4 linked regions of the Arabidopsis thaliana genome follow. The protein of the gene in region 4 interacts with the protein of the main gene of each other region in a pairwise test. Each region holds a gene or a part of one and is shown on either strand. Other genes may lie near its edges.

Evidence for each region.
Region 1: the proteins of AT1G35490 (region 4) and AT1G75710 interact in a two-hybrid assay, tested with the Arabidopsis thaliana proteins (one large-scale study listed by BioGRID).
Region 2: the proteins of AT1G35490 (region 4) and HSFA7A interact in a two-hybrid assay, tested with the Arabidopsis thaliana proteins (one large-scale study listed by BioGRID).
Region 3: the proteins of AT1G35490 (region 4) and bZIP7 interact in a two-hybrid assay, tested with the Arabidopsis thaliana proteins (one large-scale study listed by BioGRID).

What each region holds. Positions count from the first base shown.
Region 1 is NC_003070.9:28,427,107-28,431,870, reverse strand, and holds AT1G75710 (C2H2-like zinc finger protein), read right to left. Parts: upstream 3,201-4,764; 5' UTR 3,066-3,200; coding exon 2,479-3,065; intron 2,391-2,478; coding exon 2,293-2,390; intron 1,447-2,292; coding exon 743-1,446; 3' UTR 532-742; downstream 1-531.
Region 2 is NC_003074.8:19,263,505-19,267,350, forward strand, and holds HSFA7A (heat shock transcription factor A7A), read left to right. Parts: upstream 1-1,636; 5' UTR 1,637-1,789; coding exon 1,790-2,053; intron 2,054-2,560; coding exon 2,561-3,115; 3' UTR 3,116-3,302; downstream 3,303-3,846. UniProt on the Arabidopsis thaliana protein: Transcriptional activator that specifically binds DNA sequence 5'-AGAAnnTTCT-3' known as heat shock promoter elements (HSE).
Region 3 is NC_003075.7:17,722,023-17,725,567, forward strand, and holds bZIP7 (basic leucine-zipper 7), read left to right. Parts: upstream 1-1,616; 5' UTR 1,617-1,777; coding exon 1,778-2,695; 3' UTR 2,696-3,015; downstream 3,016-3,545. Other genes in the region: GRF2 (growth-regulating factor 2), read right to left, coding at 3,511-3,545.
Region 4 is NC_003070.9:13,059,783-13,063,995, reverse strand, and holds AT1G35490 (bZIP family transcription factor), read right to left. Parts: upstream 2,448-4,213; 5' UTR 2,244-2,447; intron 2,151-2,243; 5' UTR 2,141-2,150; coding exon 1,611-2,140; intron 1,397-1,610; coding exon 1,321-1,396; intron 1,217-1,320; coding exon 1,090-1,216; intron 1,000-1,089; coding exon 830-999; 3' UTR 541-829; downstream 1-540.

The sequences.
Region 1 (4,764 bases), about 15 Mb from region 4:
TGTAAAACTCGAATATTAAACTGGTTTGATTCTAAATCTCTGATTTCATTTGCAACTCCAAGGAGAAATCGAGTTATTATAAAAATAAACAATGTAGCAGCTTCTGACAACGAGGAAAGTTCCAATGGTGCACCCTCTCAGCGTGCAAGCCTTTTTTATTTATGGGTAAATTTTGAACTTATCTGAACCATACCATATAACTACTATTTCCTTCTTCTTTTTTTGACAACACTATATAACTACTAAATTAAAACTATACAATACCCAACTTTTACAAAATCAGCTTTCCCTATAAATATTTCTTAAAAAATAACGAAAAGAACTTGGGTGAATAAAATAATTTACTGAAAACGCATGTGATAGCAATTATATCACTCTGCCACTCCCACACTATTTGATTCCCACCAAGTGTGAACACAGCTATGAAATTTACCATAGTTAACAAAATGTTACATTTACTGGTCAAAAAGCCTAAATTGAGAAATAACACGTTAAGTTCATCATAATTCATAATCATGATTTTTAACCCACTCGACTACTGAATTCTTAACCTAATCATGATTTTCAATAATAGAGATAACCAAGAACATATTAGCTTAGACTCCTGAGAATTACACTTAATAGTCAATAATAAGATGGGAATTATGATGCAGGTTGATGATTATCCCTAATCTCTCCCTATAATATTAAAAAGTTAGAAGTACAAAAAACAAACATTATTTCTCAAGTTAAAATTACAAATTCAAGATTCTAAAACTTTGTAAATAACCACGAAGCAAGGTAATATAGCTCTCGGGTTATAAACCACAAGCTCCTCAAGATTCGAATAAACTCCAGCATTGACCGCCACCGAGTCAAACGTACCACCACTCGAAGAAACTCCAACCACCGAGTTATCCTCCACCGTTGACTTCTTCTCCGCTGTAGCCGAAGCATCCGCCGCCGGTAAATCAACTCGCTTAACTCTCCCAGCGATCACACGGCACACAAGCATCACTCTCCTCGCATCATCGCTACACCTCAGCAAATCATCAGCTCTTCCGCTGCTCGCCGTCGTCCTCACACCGGCGTTTGCGACGTTGGCTCCTCCGCCACCAGATTTTCCTTGGAAACCGTGGCGAATCACGGTGCAGACGCCACAAACAGGGAGGTTAGAGCAGAGAGAAGAAGAGCCACGAGCTCCGAGTGAACAAGTGAGAGTGGTGCAGTGAAAACGTAAGAGCTCGTTGCCGTCGGCGGCACAACGAGCATCTTTTCTGGTTGCTTGAAGTGCACGCGCCTTCACTGCGTCTCGGCAATCCTCAAACCGTTGGATCGTACGTTGAGTGTTGTGGACTTTTAATATCCGTTCGATCTGACAGATGGGACTGTCTTTTTTAAGCCAGCTTGATTTGAATATGATCTCCACTATGTTTCGACCCGAATCCTCCGGACCTAACTCCGAAACTGCAATTAAACGACAACGTTTTTGCTCATAAAATCAGGAAAAATATGCAAGTCAAAACAAAAATCTGAGTTTTTGGGACATTAAAGACAGTTCTATAATTCGGTTTTTGTCAGGTGAGGGGTTTTAATTCTGATACTGTCGAATTGAAAAATGACACGTAATATTTCAGGGGGACATTGAATTTAGTTAAGAGCAGAGACAGCTGTTTCTTTTTATAGTACAATGGTCCCATCGCATGGTAAGTGTTTCCAAGCAAAACGACGGATTTGGAGACCATAGAATATATCTTGTTCTCCAGTTATATTCCTATTCTCTTTTGTATCTTTCTCTAAAAATACGTATGAATCTCTATTCCAAAAACAATCTGTAACATACGGCCAAATCATCCTAACTTATTTGATCGATATAATCACCGACAATAACACTGAGATCTTGATTCCATTAAGAAACAACGAAGTCTAAGATATATATTAATGAAAGCATGTTCGTTAATTATTTGCTTAGCATTATGGTAAATCTATCGATAAATCCAAGGGCCTATACGCCGGAAAACATGTGTTAATGCTAATTATTCAATCAATACTAAACAAACAAAGGTTGTATCATCATTCACAAGTCAAATCATGGACTGAGATCTTAAGTTTTTTTCCAAGGATACAAAACATAATCTTACTTTGCCAAGCCATTCGCATTTACGAAAATCTCACTAGATACTTAGGGTTAAATTTAAAAATGTGACTACCACACACCAAAAAATAAAAAATTGTAGCTAAAGCGTAATTAATTAATTTGAGGTAAGTGATAAAGTCAAACAATTTTTGTTAAAAGGAAAAAAAAAGCCTTACCTGCGTGACGAACTGCTTGATGAAGCTCTAAGCTTTCAAGCTTGGGGAAAACTTCTCCACATTGGGAACAAGCACAAACCCTAGGCGAAATCGGATACCTAAAATTCAAGAACATGAAAATGAAATTACAAAAATATAATTCAGAAGAACATTTACTTACTCATAATTAATTTTTGGTGTCATTACCTGCTCGGGTCAACGATCATGTGACATTCGTAACATCCGGAGAGTTTACGGAACTGCATGGCTCTAAACGAAGTCGTTGACGATGACGTGTAACTCCCACTGGCGTTAGATCTCGTTGAGCCAGATGTAAGAGACCGAGACGAAGAAGAACCGTGTTGACCAGGTTTCCGAGTCAGAAGCCGAGTCTCCGAGTTAGGAGTAGCCGAGTTACCTACGTCTGGTGAGTGATCAGCTCTATGAACCACACGAGTGTTGCCGTGAGCCACGTCTCTAAAGCTGCAAATGGAGCTGCACGACGAGCCAAGCTTGGAAGGAGATAAGTTAGTTGTCATGGACGGACCAGATTGAGAGTTCTTGGAAGGATCATGGACTCTTGACCCTTCGATTTGTTTGCAAGTCAATAGGTTCTTGATTTGGTCCCATGAAGATGGCTGCTTCGGAGGTACTGCTTTCTTCGGTTTCTGCGGTTTATGTTTCTGTGTCTGCGTTTGGTCGGTGGGATTATCGCGTTTCTTTCGTTTGCTAGACGTTGGCTTGTGTTTTTGTGGCGCCTCTGCGTTCTCCGGCAAGAAAGTTAGTAAAGCCATTGAAAGAAGAAAGAAACTCTTGAGAATGTGAGAGTTTCTTTTGTGTTCGTCTTTATGGTTCTTTAATTATAAGCTTTTATTTTTAGGTGTTGAAATCGAAGATGGATCCAAGATGGGTAATAAGGAGGGAAGAAGATTAAAGTAGTGGGCTCTATCTTTCTTTAATTCTTTATTTTACAGTTTTACTTTCTTACCCTTCTGATTAATATTCTTGTCGTTCGAATTTATTAAAATTATAATCTTTTAATAGAAAATAGGGTACTAATTTAACTATATTCAGATATCTTGTTTTGTCAGAGAAAAATATCTTTCTAATTAATTTTGGCATCTGGTTGCTTGCTTTGTTAGTTGTGGATTTTCCTCAAAAGAAAAAACAGTATTTAATTATGGATTTTGGATAGATAGTAAATTACTTTTTTGATGATTATAAATTAGTTAGAAGATCTTGAAGTTAATTTTTTTGGACGAGCTTGGTTGGCTTTGTATGTGCTTTAACTGCTTCATCTATAATCTTCCATTACAGTTTGACCTTCTTAAAGGCGGAATTAGTCAACGTCACTGATGTTTATATTGGTAGTATTGATTTGTTTGGTTATTATACTCAAAACTTTGAATGGAATCTCTTTATTAATAGTCGTTACTACATAATAAAAATGTATAAGTTCACCATTAAAACAAGTTTGATGACAGAAATAATTAGTTTTAAAAATCAAAGTTTGGAGATTCCATGAATGCAAGCAAGACAACAAGAAAAGAAATGGAATTAATTAGTACATCAAAAATATAATAATAATAATAATTCTAAAAATGATGTTGTTGATATGTATGGTCAAAAGTATTTTTTTAACAGAACAAGATTACACGTTAAACACCAGACAAGGTCTTTGGAAACTTCGTATTTGGAACTGTGATTACGGATTCCAAATGTTCTATTTGTCTCGATTTGAAAATTTCAATGCTCTTAATTCCTTGTTTCCTAAATAGTTTGGTACATTTATATCATTTTTACTTCAATAGTTTTTGGTCTCAGTTTGTATGTAAGTATTTCAGATTTATGCAATGTATTACTTCATATTGATAGACTATTTTTTTCAAAGTAATTAGGATAGGGTGTCATAAACTAATCTCAGTACAGTAAATAGAGGTGGAGTTACACTTGAAGTTTGTGTAAAAAAGTATGGGTGTAAATTCATTTATTAATATACTGATTATCATAAAAAACAGTTTAATGCACTAAATAAATAATAATTTAATGTGTAATAAATGTCGACATTATGGGAAGAACATTTTTAATGTGATAACTCAAGTGAGCTTGTATATTTTTAGATTGTGGTAATTGCGTTCAAACACAACACACAATTTCGAGTAATTATATTAATCATTCATCATCAATAACATAAAAGTAAATTAATCATATTTAGGGTGAAAATTTGTAGCAATCAAAAGAAACTACGATTTTAAGGTTGATCGTTGACTATATGTAAAATTCTAAGACCTTCACATTCGCCGCAATACTTGGATTTATCACGCAGTCGCTTTGGCCTTCTCACTTGTCGTGTTCCACATTTGTCCTTCTCTTTTGTTTTAAACTTTGGTTATAAAAATCACCAGAGATTGTTATAAAGTCATTTCGTTTAAAATTTTGTTAAATATGTTATGTTCATTGAGACAAAAGAAGAAACGAAGCGCGAGATCTTGA
Region 2 (3,846 bases), on a different chromosome or scaffold from region 4:
ATTTTTTACGAAGAGGAGGTAATATTATGCCAATATTTCTCTTTTAAGTAACATATTTATTTCCAAACGTACAATTAAATGAAAAACGTGTTTAGTGGAACTACAACAATATCATAAATCAACATGACTTGTTTAAAATGGAGTAAAAAATAAAAAAATGTCATGATTTTGCTTTGAAATAGACAATGAAATTTTGTGTTTAATAAATAAATAGACCATCAAAATTGATGCTTATACGTAACAAAGTATTAACGCATAGAATTAATCGATAAGCACCAATTACCAAATACTAAACTAGCTAGTCTACTCTATAATCCCGAATTGTAACTTCATTCATACTATTAAAAAATATTTTCGGAGAAAAAGTCAAAAGAAATGGTTCAATCAAATGTCTCCACATTATTTTGTTAAGCAGGTTGCTGAATATAAAATAATTCGAAATCTCTACTATATTTTATCATCCTGTCTGTCTCTGGTACTACAGACCAGATGTTGAGTACAAACACGTACCATGAGGCATCGCGGTAATGCATCAAGTGTCACTTAGACTGTTCGACACATGTTTGAGGATTGCATCAAAAAGGTGGCTACGAAGTCTACAGCTTCTAGGAAGAGTCCAAGCGGACCAATTAGGATTTGTTCTATGTATGGTCAAAACCTATATAGAATTTGTTTGCTAGCGTTGCTATTATCTTTTTTTCTTTTTGTTGATTAAAAAAAACTATGTTCTCCGAATGTAAAAAAAAAACAACAACGAAGTTCTGCTCCAGATACTGTTTTAACCGGCCAATTCAGAATAAACTGATTTAAATACATGTACCCATTCTTGAAGGTCAAACGACAAAAAATATATACAAATTGTTTGCTAGTGAATTACTATTATCTTTTTTCGTGTATTTTTTTGTTGATTAGAAACTATGTTCTACGAATGTAAAGAAAAAATACAACAACGAAGTTGTGCTCCAGATACTGTTCTGACCGACCAATTCTGAATTACCTGAGTAGTCCATTTTAAGGCATGTACCCATTTTTTCTCTTTTGGGTTAAGGGTTTAAGTTTTTGCTTTAAAAAGAAGAAATGTTTTGTAGCCATATATTAATATAAAAGTGTATATTTTATAAATATCTCTAACTTATATATTATAAAGAAAAATACCTAAGAAATTTACTAGTCAGAAATTAATGGAGGCCTTCGAATTGCAGGGAATTTGTCAATCAACTCTTGGAGTACTTCTGGTTGGTTTTATTTTAGCCTTAACCAATCCGGTTTAGACCCAAGCCAAATGTCAAGATGAGACAACAGCCACATCAACATTAAAACCAAACTTAACCCAATTACAATTTGCCATTTGCATCACTCTTTGTTTTTATATTTGTAAAACACAAAAGGTGGGTCCTAATACTAACAATGTGAAAACCATACCGTACAGTCCTCAATTACGAAGTTCCAGAAGTTTCGACTATTCGAATGTGCATCAAAAAGGTCCAAAACCGTTTCCAGAAGTTTCTAATTTCTAACTTGAGTGTACTATAATAATAATTTTTACAAATATTTTAATCAAATCTAATATCATCACTCACTTTCTACTCTTCCTATATAAAGCCACCTCAAAATTATCTTACGTGGACATTACCTTCCTCACTCCATCAACTGCCATAAACGAACTTAATCCGACCAGTTTTTCAAAATCCGAAGATGATGAACTCAACTTCGGAGACTGGTTAATCGAAATCATCAAGAATCTTGTCTTTAATTTCCAATTGGGTTTTTCAAAACCCGTTACCTCAGGATGATGAACCCGTTTCTCCCGGAAGGCTGCGATCCACCACCACCACCACAACCAATGGAGGGTTTACACGAAAATGCTCCACCTCCATTTCTGACCAAGACATTTGAGATGGTGGATGATCCAAACACTGACCACATCGTATCTTGGAACAGAGGAGGAACAAGTTTTGTCGTCTGGGATTTGCATTCTTTCTCCACGATTCTCCTTCCTCGTCATTTCAAACACAGCAATTTCTCAAGTTTCATCAGACAACTCAATACTTATGTGAGTCTTCTCTGCTCTGTATTCTCTGACCAAACACAAAACAGAGCATTCAAAGCAGAGGAATGCTCTGTTTTTTTCTTTTATTTTTTTAACTTTCATTTCCCTTGTTGCTGGAAAATTACCGCGAAGTATTCTGAATGTTACTATATAATTAACTTGGTAATGGAAAAAAGTCATTTTTTACAGCAGAATCTGTTGTTAATTTAGCATTCTAGAAACATCGAAAATGTAGATTCCGTAATGGCTAGTGGAGTAGAAGAAGGTTTAGTAAGTTCCAGAAGCAAGTTTCGTGTCAACTTGCTTACTAAAATAATCAAAAGAAACAGTCAGCGATCTTATCCCAATTTCCATTGTTTATTCACTAATCAGCTTTAACGTTGCCCACTTGTTCCATTCTTTAACATATAAAAACATAGAAAGAGTTCTCACTCCAATTATTGATGTTTGTGAGAATATGTAGACTTTCAAAAGATTAGTTTTTGAATACTTATGTTAAAAAAATTACAGGGTTTCAGAAAGATAGAAGCAGAGAGATGGGAATTTGCAAACGAAGAGTTTTTGTTAGGACAAAGACAGTTGTTGAAGAACATCAAGAGGAGAAACCCTTTTACTCCATCATCTTCACCAAGCCATGACGCTTGCAACGAGCTTCGCAGAGAGAAGCAAGTGCTAATGATGGAGATAGTGAGTCTAAGACAGCAGCAACAAACAACGAAAAGCTACATCAAAGCTATGGAACAGAGGATAGAAGGAACAGAGAGGAAACAGAGACAAATGATGTCGTTTCTGGCTAGAGCAATGCAGAGTCCTTCGTTTTTGCATCAGTTGTTGAAACAAAGAGATAAAAAAATTAAGGAGCTTGAGGATAATGAGTCAGCAAAGAGGAAAAGAGGTTCTTCTTCGATGTCGGAATTGGAAGTTTTGGCTTTGGAGATGCAAGGGCATGGAAAACAGAGGAATATGTTGGAAGAAGAGGATCATCAACTGGTGGTAGAGAGAGAGTTGGATGATGGTTTCTGGGAAGAGTTGCTTAGTGATGAGAGTTTGGCTTCCACCTCCTAACTAGATGGATTTCTTTTTGGTTTTGTTTTTAGTTTCTTCTACTTTCAAGCTCATTTTCTTCTGTCACAAAAAAAAAACTTTTTCTGTTTGTTTAATTAATTTGCAGTAATTTTGTTATCAAGTAGTAGTAGTAGTAGTGTAAACAAAAAAATGGTTAATTCTTTCATATATGTGTATATGTATGTGATAAATATGATTGTTATTAACTCCATCTAAACTCTTCTCTGATCTCTTCTTACAAAGACCTATTGATGACGTTGAATGATGTCTTTGTCTGCTTCACTCTTTTTTGCCCTAAACCCTTTTTCCAAATGTGATCTCTCTTTTTCACATCATTTAATGCTATTAAGGAGTTTTGGCTTATTTGGGTCAGTGTTAAGACAAGTCCACATGAGTGAGCAATCATCCATGTCCGTGATTCTAACCTGTAACAGTGTTAATTTAGTGGAATCATGTAATATGGTTTACTCTCTCCGGTCAAAATTCTGATCTCTAGTCTTCAAGAAAATAACTTTAAAATGAGAGCAAAGACAACTATGAGCAAGAAGATTGCTACAAAGATCAAGAATCCACAAGATGGTGGAATGTCTCATGACAAAGAAGAGGAAAACTCTTTAGCAGTGATTAGCTGTTCTGTTTTCTGATCTAAAGTTTCTTCTACAGCAGCTAGTTGTTGATTGACAAAAAAAAAATCTAATCAATCTCCTATCTCCTTCCTATGTTGCCATCGC
Region 3 (3,545 bases), on a different chromosome or scaffold from region 4:
TGTGTATTGAACTCCTTTAATACAATAATGAGGTGAAAACTTTTTAAGATAAAGATTTTTGTAACTCCACTAGGGAAAAATCATTGTATCAAACTTTAAAAAATTTCGAAATACAAATGTTAAAATAGACCACTTAGCATGAAATGTTCGTATACGTATATAGATCGAGCTTTAAGAACTTTGTACTAATTAGGATCAAACTATAAAATATTTTGCTAATATATCAAACTGTATATGATTATCTCAACAGAACCTTGTTGTAACTTGCTATAAGCCATGTTGAAAGCTGGTTCACCAGCCGGGCACAAGCTTAGCTCCTGGCTCATCGACCGATCTGCGATACGACTTTTTCAGTGGTTAACAATAGTAATAGGTCCCTCCACTCGACCTTTTTTAATGTATATAAAAAGCTAAGATGTGAGCTTTTTTTTCTGGACATTTAAAGTTGAGTTCACATGAGACCGAACCAAAACATGAATCTGGCTATAATAAAGCGACGTGTATATGTAATATATATAAGTCTTTGTCCTCTCCACTTTATTCTATATGAAATGCATGTGGCCGTTGCTCCACATTTTTTGTTTCTCATCATAAATAAGCTAAGTAAAGGTATCTAAAAATTAATATAATTATAGTATACTAAATTTAATTTTAATCAGAATTTTGTACTAGGGATTGTGTGATTTAGAAGTCTAGGCGCATTTTTCATCCTTATTAATTATCTTTCCTTAGATTGGTAAATTATTAAGCGAAAAAGCTATGTAATGCCGTATATATATTTATACAATCAATTATGATTGATGCAGCATTTTAACCAAAGAGAAAACAATTCAACATTAAGATAAAAATTAATTTATTTTCTATATTTCCATTAATTTTCTGTTGTATATTTAAACATTATTTACGAAACAATATATTTTGATTCAAGATTTAACAATTAAATTATTGAATTTTTCACATTATATTTCTAATGAAGAAACTAATCTAAAAATACTCTACATTTGATGTATCCTTGCAATCGAAATATTCAATGTTTCCGTGTAGCAAGCAAGTATATATACTTAACTTTTTGGTCATAGGTTAACTTATAGGGTTCTTTACAAAAAGCATTGGTCTCATCTCTCATGCAAAGCACCAGTTTGGTTCAGTTAATTGAAAAGTATGTTCCTTAGATTCTCTGATTGAAACGATGATTCTAGTCCCTCTCCAGTGTGTGTCCATCCCGTGTTAAAAGAAATTGACAAAACTAAAATAAAGAAAGATTGCCATTCTCTTTAAAAAAAGATTGTCTTTCTCTTTAAGAAAGATTATTAAACAGTGAACATAAAGAACCACAAATTACTCTATTCTGACTGTAAATATCATAATTAACCAGCATATGTTCACATACAATTTTTGTTTTATCTAATCACTAACTAAAATGATAAGTTTATTGAAGATAATATGGAATTGATAATTTTTTGTTTTTTTTGTTGAATCTTCTAACAAGAATGAGAGAAAACTATATGAAGTATTCAATTCCAATATGAAAAGTTAAACTTTTTCTAGGAGTGTAAAGAAATATCTCATTCTTGAATTTCTTAAAACGTGTGAAATATGGACTGTTTTCTTCATCACTAAGCTATTACTGGTTACATAATTTTCAAATTTGTTAATTTATTTTTGTTATATGGACCCAAAACAAGCTATTGGTGCCCTACACAATATTTCCTGCTTTTACAAAAGTTGGCTCTGCCAAATAAAAATTTTCAAGTTTTTAACCCCACCATAGTGCAACATGACTCAAAAGCTGTTTATACAGTATAGTCTACGGTCTTACATCGTATTTTGGAAATATGACCAAATTACCCCTTGGTTTGTCCATAAATATCAAGCTCCAACAATGCAATTCTTCCCTTTTCCCCTTCTAATTTCTCTCATCTCTCTATTAGAAAAATTATTAGCAATTATGTTGTCCACTGCACCGGCCTTTTCATTCTCCGAACCGGGTTTGGTTAATCAATTCTCGGGTTTCCAAACCGGGTTCACTCCTTGGGAATGGGATTGCTCTGATCTCTTTTTCGTGGACCAAATGTCTCTTGAACCGGCCATCCCTAGTCCTTGTTATGGTGAATCCGACACTGGTTCCGTCAAAATTAATTCCGGTTCTCATGACATGAAAACCGGTTCTGACGAATCTTGTGCCGGTTTCGTCAAAATTAATCCTCGTTGTGACGACGCCGACATATCAAACGATCTACCGTGCTCTCAAGCAGATGAACCGGACTCGGACGACACAAAACAATTGACAGCCATCACAAATTTCGGTTCGGGAGAGAATAACCATAACCGGAAAAAAATGATCCAACCGGAGATGACCGACGAGCGGAAGAGGAAGAGGATGGAGTCAAACCGGGAATCAGCGAAACGGTCAAGAATGCGTAAACAAAGTCACATTGATAACTTACGAGAGCAAGTAAACCGGTTGGATTTAGAAAACCGTGAGCTCGGGAACCGACTCCGGTTAGTTTTACACCAGCTTCAACGAGTGAATTCCGACAATAACCGGCTCGTGACAGAACAAGAGATACTCCGGCTAAGATTGTCGGAGATGCGTCGGATTCTGATCATTAGACAACTTCAACAACAGCAACAATGGGAACTACATAACCGGAGAATGATCATGACTGAACAAAACCACCCTCATCTTCAATGATAGATCAAAATATTTAAGAAGAAAAAATATCGAAAAACTTAGAACAATAACCAAAAAAAAAAAGCAAAGCAAAAAAGAAACTCTCGCTATGTCTCTCTATCTCTCTATGTAAATGAAATGAAGGTTAGGAAGAGAAAATGATAGTTTTCTAATTTTCCTTTCCACTTTCTCGTTTTCTATATGTTGTGACTCCACTACACTAGAGAAGAAGGAAAACAAAACAGATTTTTATTTTGGTTTTCTTTTTCCCACTCTCGTGTATGAGATAAATAACTTAAAGAGTTATTAAATTAATACAACGATTTACATTATTACTTAGTGGAAACTGGAAAGGCTTTATGCGCATTGACATCATGCTACAACGCCCATAATTGTTGAAAAGATACACTGTATTTTAAAGTACTAAACCAAGCCTAATAAACCGGTTGCCACGATCCCAAATACTGTAATATCACTACATAATATATCTTAATCGTTAAAATGCCTATCTCGGCCCAAATAAAGTTTTGGAACATAAAGCCCAACAATAATTTAGGTCCTCAAGTCCATTTTTGTTACGACCCTAAAAGTTTTCCCTTGATGAAAGAGCAAAGATAAACCCTAGTTTGTAACTGAACAATTAGAATAAAGATTGTGATTATATGAAGTGATTATCAAACAAATGATTCAGAAATCGGAAACGAAGAAAGAATCAGAAGAACAACGATTTTCTAATTTCCTCTTTAAGCTTTAGAAAGACGAAACAGAACATAATGAAAGAGAAAAAACAGAGCTTTTCTTTTTTTGTTTCCTGCCGCAGGACTTGGTTTCAGTTTTCAGGTTGTGTAATGAAAGTAATCGCCATTGTGTC
Region 4 (4,213 bases):
TTTGTAACTTAGGGTTAGAAACTAAACAAAATAACAAATGATACTGCAAATCAGTTATTGAAAGTCTAAATAATACGCAATACAATCTTTCTTAATCGTTGTCAAATTTGTAAAGTTTGTATATATAGTATCTCAACTTGAAGTTCTCCCGACGATGCTGAAAGACCATTTAAAAATAAATATATATATATATATATATAATGTATGTAGCCATAAAATCTTTTAAAAGATATGGATGAGAATTATATTTCATATCAGTTTTTTTACTTACTATGATTAATATGCATTTTTTGAGATGGAGGGTAAAATTAAAATACAATGGCGGCTTAAAGGATTTTTTTTTTTACTGTTGCATAAACCCAACAAATTACTATGTTTTCGTAAATTCATTTTTTAAATATTAATCTTAATTTTCATATTATCTTGACTGGTGTATAAAATAGTATACAGAATATTTATATATATATATATATATATATATATATTTTTTTTTTCCTTTTATTACTAGAATCGGTCACAACTTGTATATATATAGATAAAGGAAATTGTCAAAAAAATTACTTATTCATATATATAATAGATGAAATAAGAAGGATTACAAGTTATTACATAACATGAAGTTTCTTGACAAGAGATTCTCTACCATGCCATAAATAGAGAGAAATGCAATAGAGGAGGATATGGGCAACCACATTTTGATTTACATAACGATGCTTTTTTAGGTTTTCATTCAAGGCTACAAACATCAAGTTCACCTATGTTGTATGGACATTAAGGTAGAGCAAGAGGAGCTCAGCTTAATCTGAACAATGTATCCATATTTCCTAAATCATATTGCCAAGGCTGCAAATTGGGCATCGGGTTCTTGTGTAACAGGTGGTTGATATTTGTTGTATCGATTTTGTATTGCTTGGACTTGTTTTTGGTTTTGCTGTGGTTGTTGTTGGTGTCGTCGAAACTGTAGGTTTCCTATCTCTCTCTCAAGCAATTGCTGCTCCACTGTATTAACCAACCAAAATCAAAATTTTACAAGAGAACAAAATAAATGCATTTTGATCCATTTTAGTAGTGATATGAAAGGTTAAATACCATGTTTAAGCTTTTGGATTTCTGCTAAACTATCCATACGTTGTTTTAAAGCTCTATTTTCCATGCTAAGCATGAGTAACTGCTGATCCAAGTAGTGAATGGCAGATGACATTTCACATCCTTCAACCTATTGAAGAAAATCCAACATGTATAATATAACATTAGGAATCTTTTCATATTATTAATGAAATTAAAGAACTTCGAGAAATACACGAGCCTTTAGAATCTTACTTGTAGCACTTGGATGGTCCTTTCAAGGTCTGATATGTACTCAAGCCTTCTCAAACGCGCTCGATGAGCATTTTGACTGCATTTTAATAATTTTCGATAAAATTGTATATTATTAAACCGCATCAGAAATATGTTTATCAACCTATATTAGGAATGTGGTCTAACTTATCCCAACAGTTAGCTCAAGAGTTAAGGATTGCCAGATAATGCCTAAAGATCTTAATCTCAATCGATGTGGGACATTTTAATAACCTATTATAAGTACACATGACAAAGATAAGACTACTTACTGTTTGATACGTTTTGAGTCAGTCTTTGATCTAGGACCATCTGGTTTTGTAGAAGTTCCTTCTTTCATTTTGCTTACATGTTTCTCAATGGGTTTCGACGACATATTTAAAGCTCCGCATGACATATTTCTTTGGATATTAGTTCCATTTGCTGTAGAGAAATCCCATCCTAATTTATTGTGTTGTTCATAAGAGTTGGACTGCCACAAATCATAGTTCTGGAACTGCCAAGACGAACCAGCAACATGATTTTCCTTCGAAGGCATTAAAGCTGAGTTCAAGTAAGCAGCTGTGTCACTAGCTGAACGTCTATGACCTTTGTTAATCTTAGGTGATGCTGGCTCACTTAGGAGCTCATCGAGCCAAGCTGGTTGGTCTTCTGTGAAAAGATCATCTAAAGAAGCACTATGGTGGTGCATATTATTAGGAGGAGAAATGTTATTTTCCATGTTTTTTTGGGGAACTCGTGATTGTGATCTTCCAATGAATCCGAAATTTCCCGGGTTTGACAACCTCCTTAAATTTTCCATTCTTCAAAACCTATAAGGTATGAGCAAAACATGTATAAGAAAACCATTATCATGTAATGACAAGAATTGAAGATACAGTTTCTTTAACATGCAAAGAACATACCTAAGAAGACGTACGAGATTAGGAGACGTGTGATTGTTAGACCTTCCACGGGGAGGAAAATGGCATAAGCTCCTCCCGTGTGGTTGGTTTCGATCACCTCTTCTCCTTAGAATGCAAAAAAAAAAAAAAACAAGAAACAATCTCTAGATCACTAAATAGAGGAAGATACCATATTGAAACAATCCATGTTGATGATTTACATTGCGTGGTTTTCGTGAAAACAACAATTCTTGTCCTTATGCTTTATTTGGTCTATTATTTTCTCAGTTATTTTTGCTTTTTCACTTTCCCATAATAGACTCCACCATTGGTTTATTCAGACTGGGTTTATTGGTACACAATACTACAAAAGCTTCGAGGAATTCTTTCATTTTTTATTCATCGAATTTGTATAGTAAGCTCCGTAATATTTTTATGTGATTTATCTACACGCTTCTAATAGATGCAAAATCAAAATATTACTCTCACTATCATATGAGATTGACAATGTAATGACGTGGGACAATTTCTTTCTTTTTTTAGTTAATAATCTTTTCTATTTACATAATTATAAAATTCTAATGTTATTATGAACTTATAAAGTACTAGATATACAATATATATATATATATATATATATATATATATATTTAAGAGAACTATAAAAAAATAAGGAGAAACTTTGTTAAATATTAAGAAATTGATATGTTCAAATGTTTAATAATTTGCACTTTAAACTCTAAAGCTGAAATTTAGTACGAAATGTTATCAGCTTTAATTTGATAAATAATTATAAGTGATAGTTTGCACTTTGTAGATTCTATACCATCTCTATACTATTATTTGAGAAATGTTGTTAGCAAAATAACTAGATGTTACTAGATTTTAATCCGCGGTATACCGCGGGACGATTTATTTTTTAAAAGTAATATATATTAAAACTTGCAAATTTTATTTTATAAAATATTTATATTTTACAATTTATAATTGTTATTAACTAACGCTATACCACGAATCCATGAGACAATTGTTAAAAAACTGAAGTTTTAACCCCTATTAAAACAGCATATTAATAATATTTTAAAATTTTATAAATATTAATTCAAATACATCCGCCATATAACTCAATTCTAAAATAAAACCCGTTCTGTAATTTCTTTACCCGTCCTGTGATTTTTTTTTAAGTAGTAATTTTTAAAATTTAAGAATTATTTTTTATATAAAAGTTTTGCAAATTGTATCATTTTCTAATACATTTATATTTTATAGTTTAATTTTATATATAGTAACATTATACATACCACATAACATTTTTTGTTTTATATAATCTTTTCTAAATTAGGATGATTTGATATGTTTAATATTAGTGGTCTTAGAAAATAATAAATTAAAGATTTAACCCGTATTGAAACGGTGGATTAATTATATTTTATTTTTTTTATTAATGTTGATTCAAAAACCCGTCTCTCTAAATCTGTCTTGCCAAAAAGCCATTTATTTATTAATATTATTTTTATTAATGATATGACTCTGAATTATAATCTAAACATTTTAGTTAATAACATAGGAGTGCACCATATTTATTTAATAGGGGAATGTACCATATGAGCCGAACGCACTTTTATCCAAATCCACCAAAAAAGTCTTGCAAAAATACTATAGAGATAAGAAACGATTGTCGGTTTTGATAGGTATAAGATTAGCAAATATATTTGTTAGCTTAAATTAGTTAAAGAATACAAATTGAAAAGGTATATTACACTTTATTCGAATATAGTATCAAAACTTATATAACACAGAGATTTGTTATTTTTTAATTGTTGAATATTTTTTTTTGTGCTAATTTTTATGTGATTAAGATTTAATTGATTTCGTAAATAAAATATTAAATTGTTTACGAACTTATTTGTTTATAATTTGGTAATAGATAGATATTTGAATATTCAGTATATTTTGCTTCAGTTTAGGAAATCTTTGATGACCCATCTCTA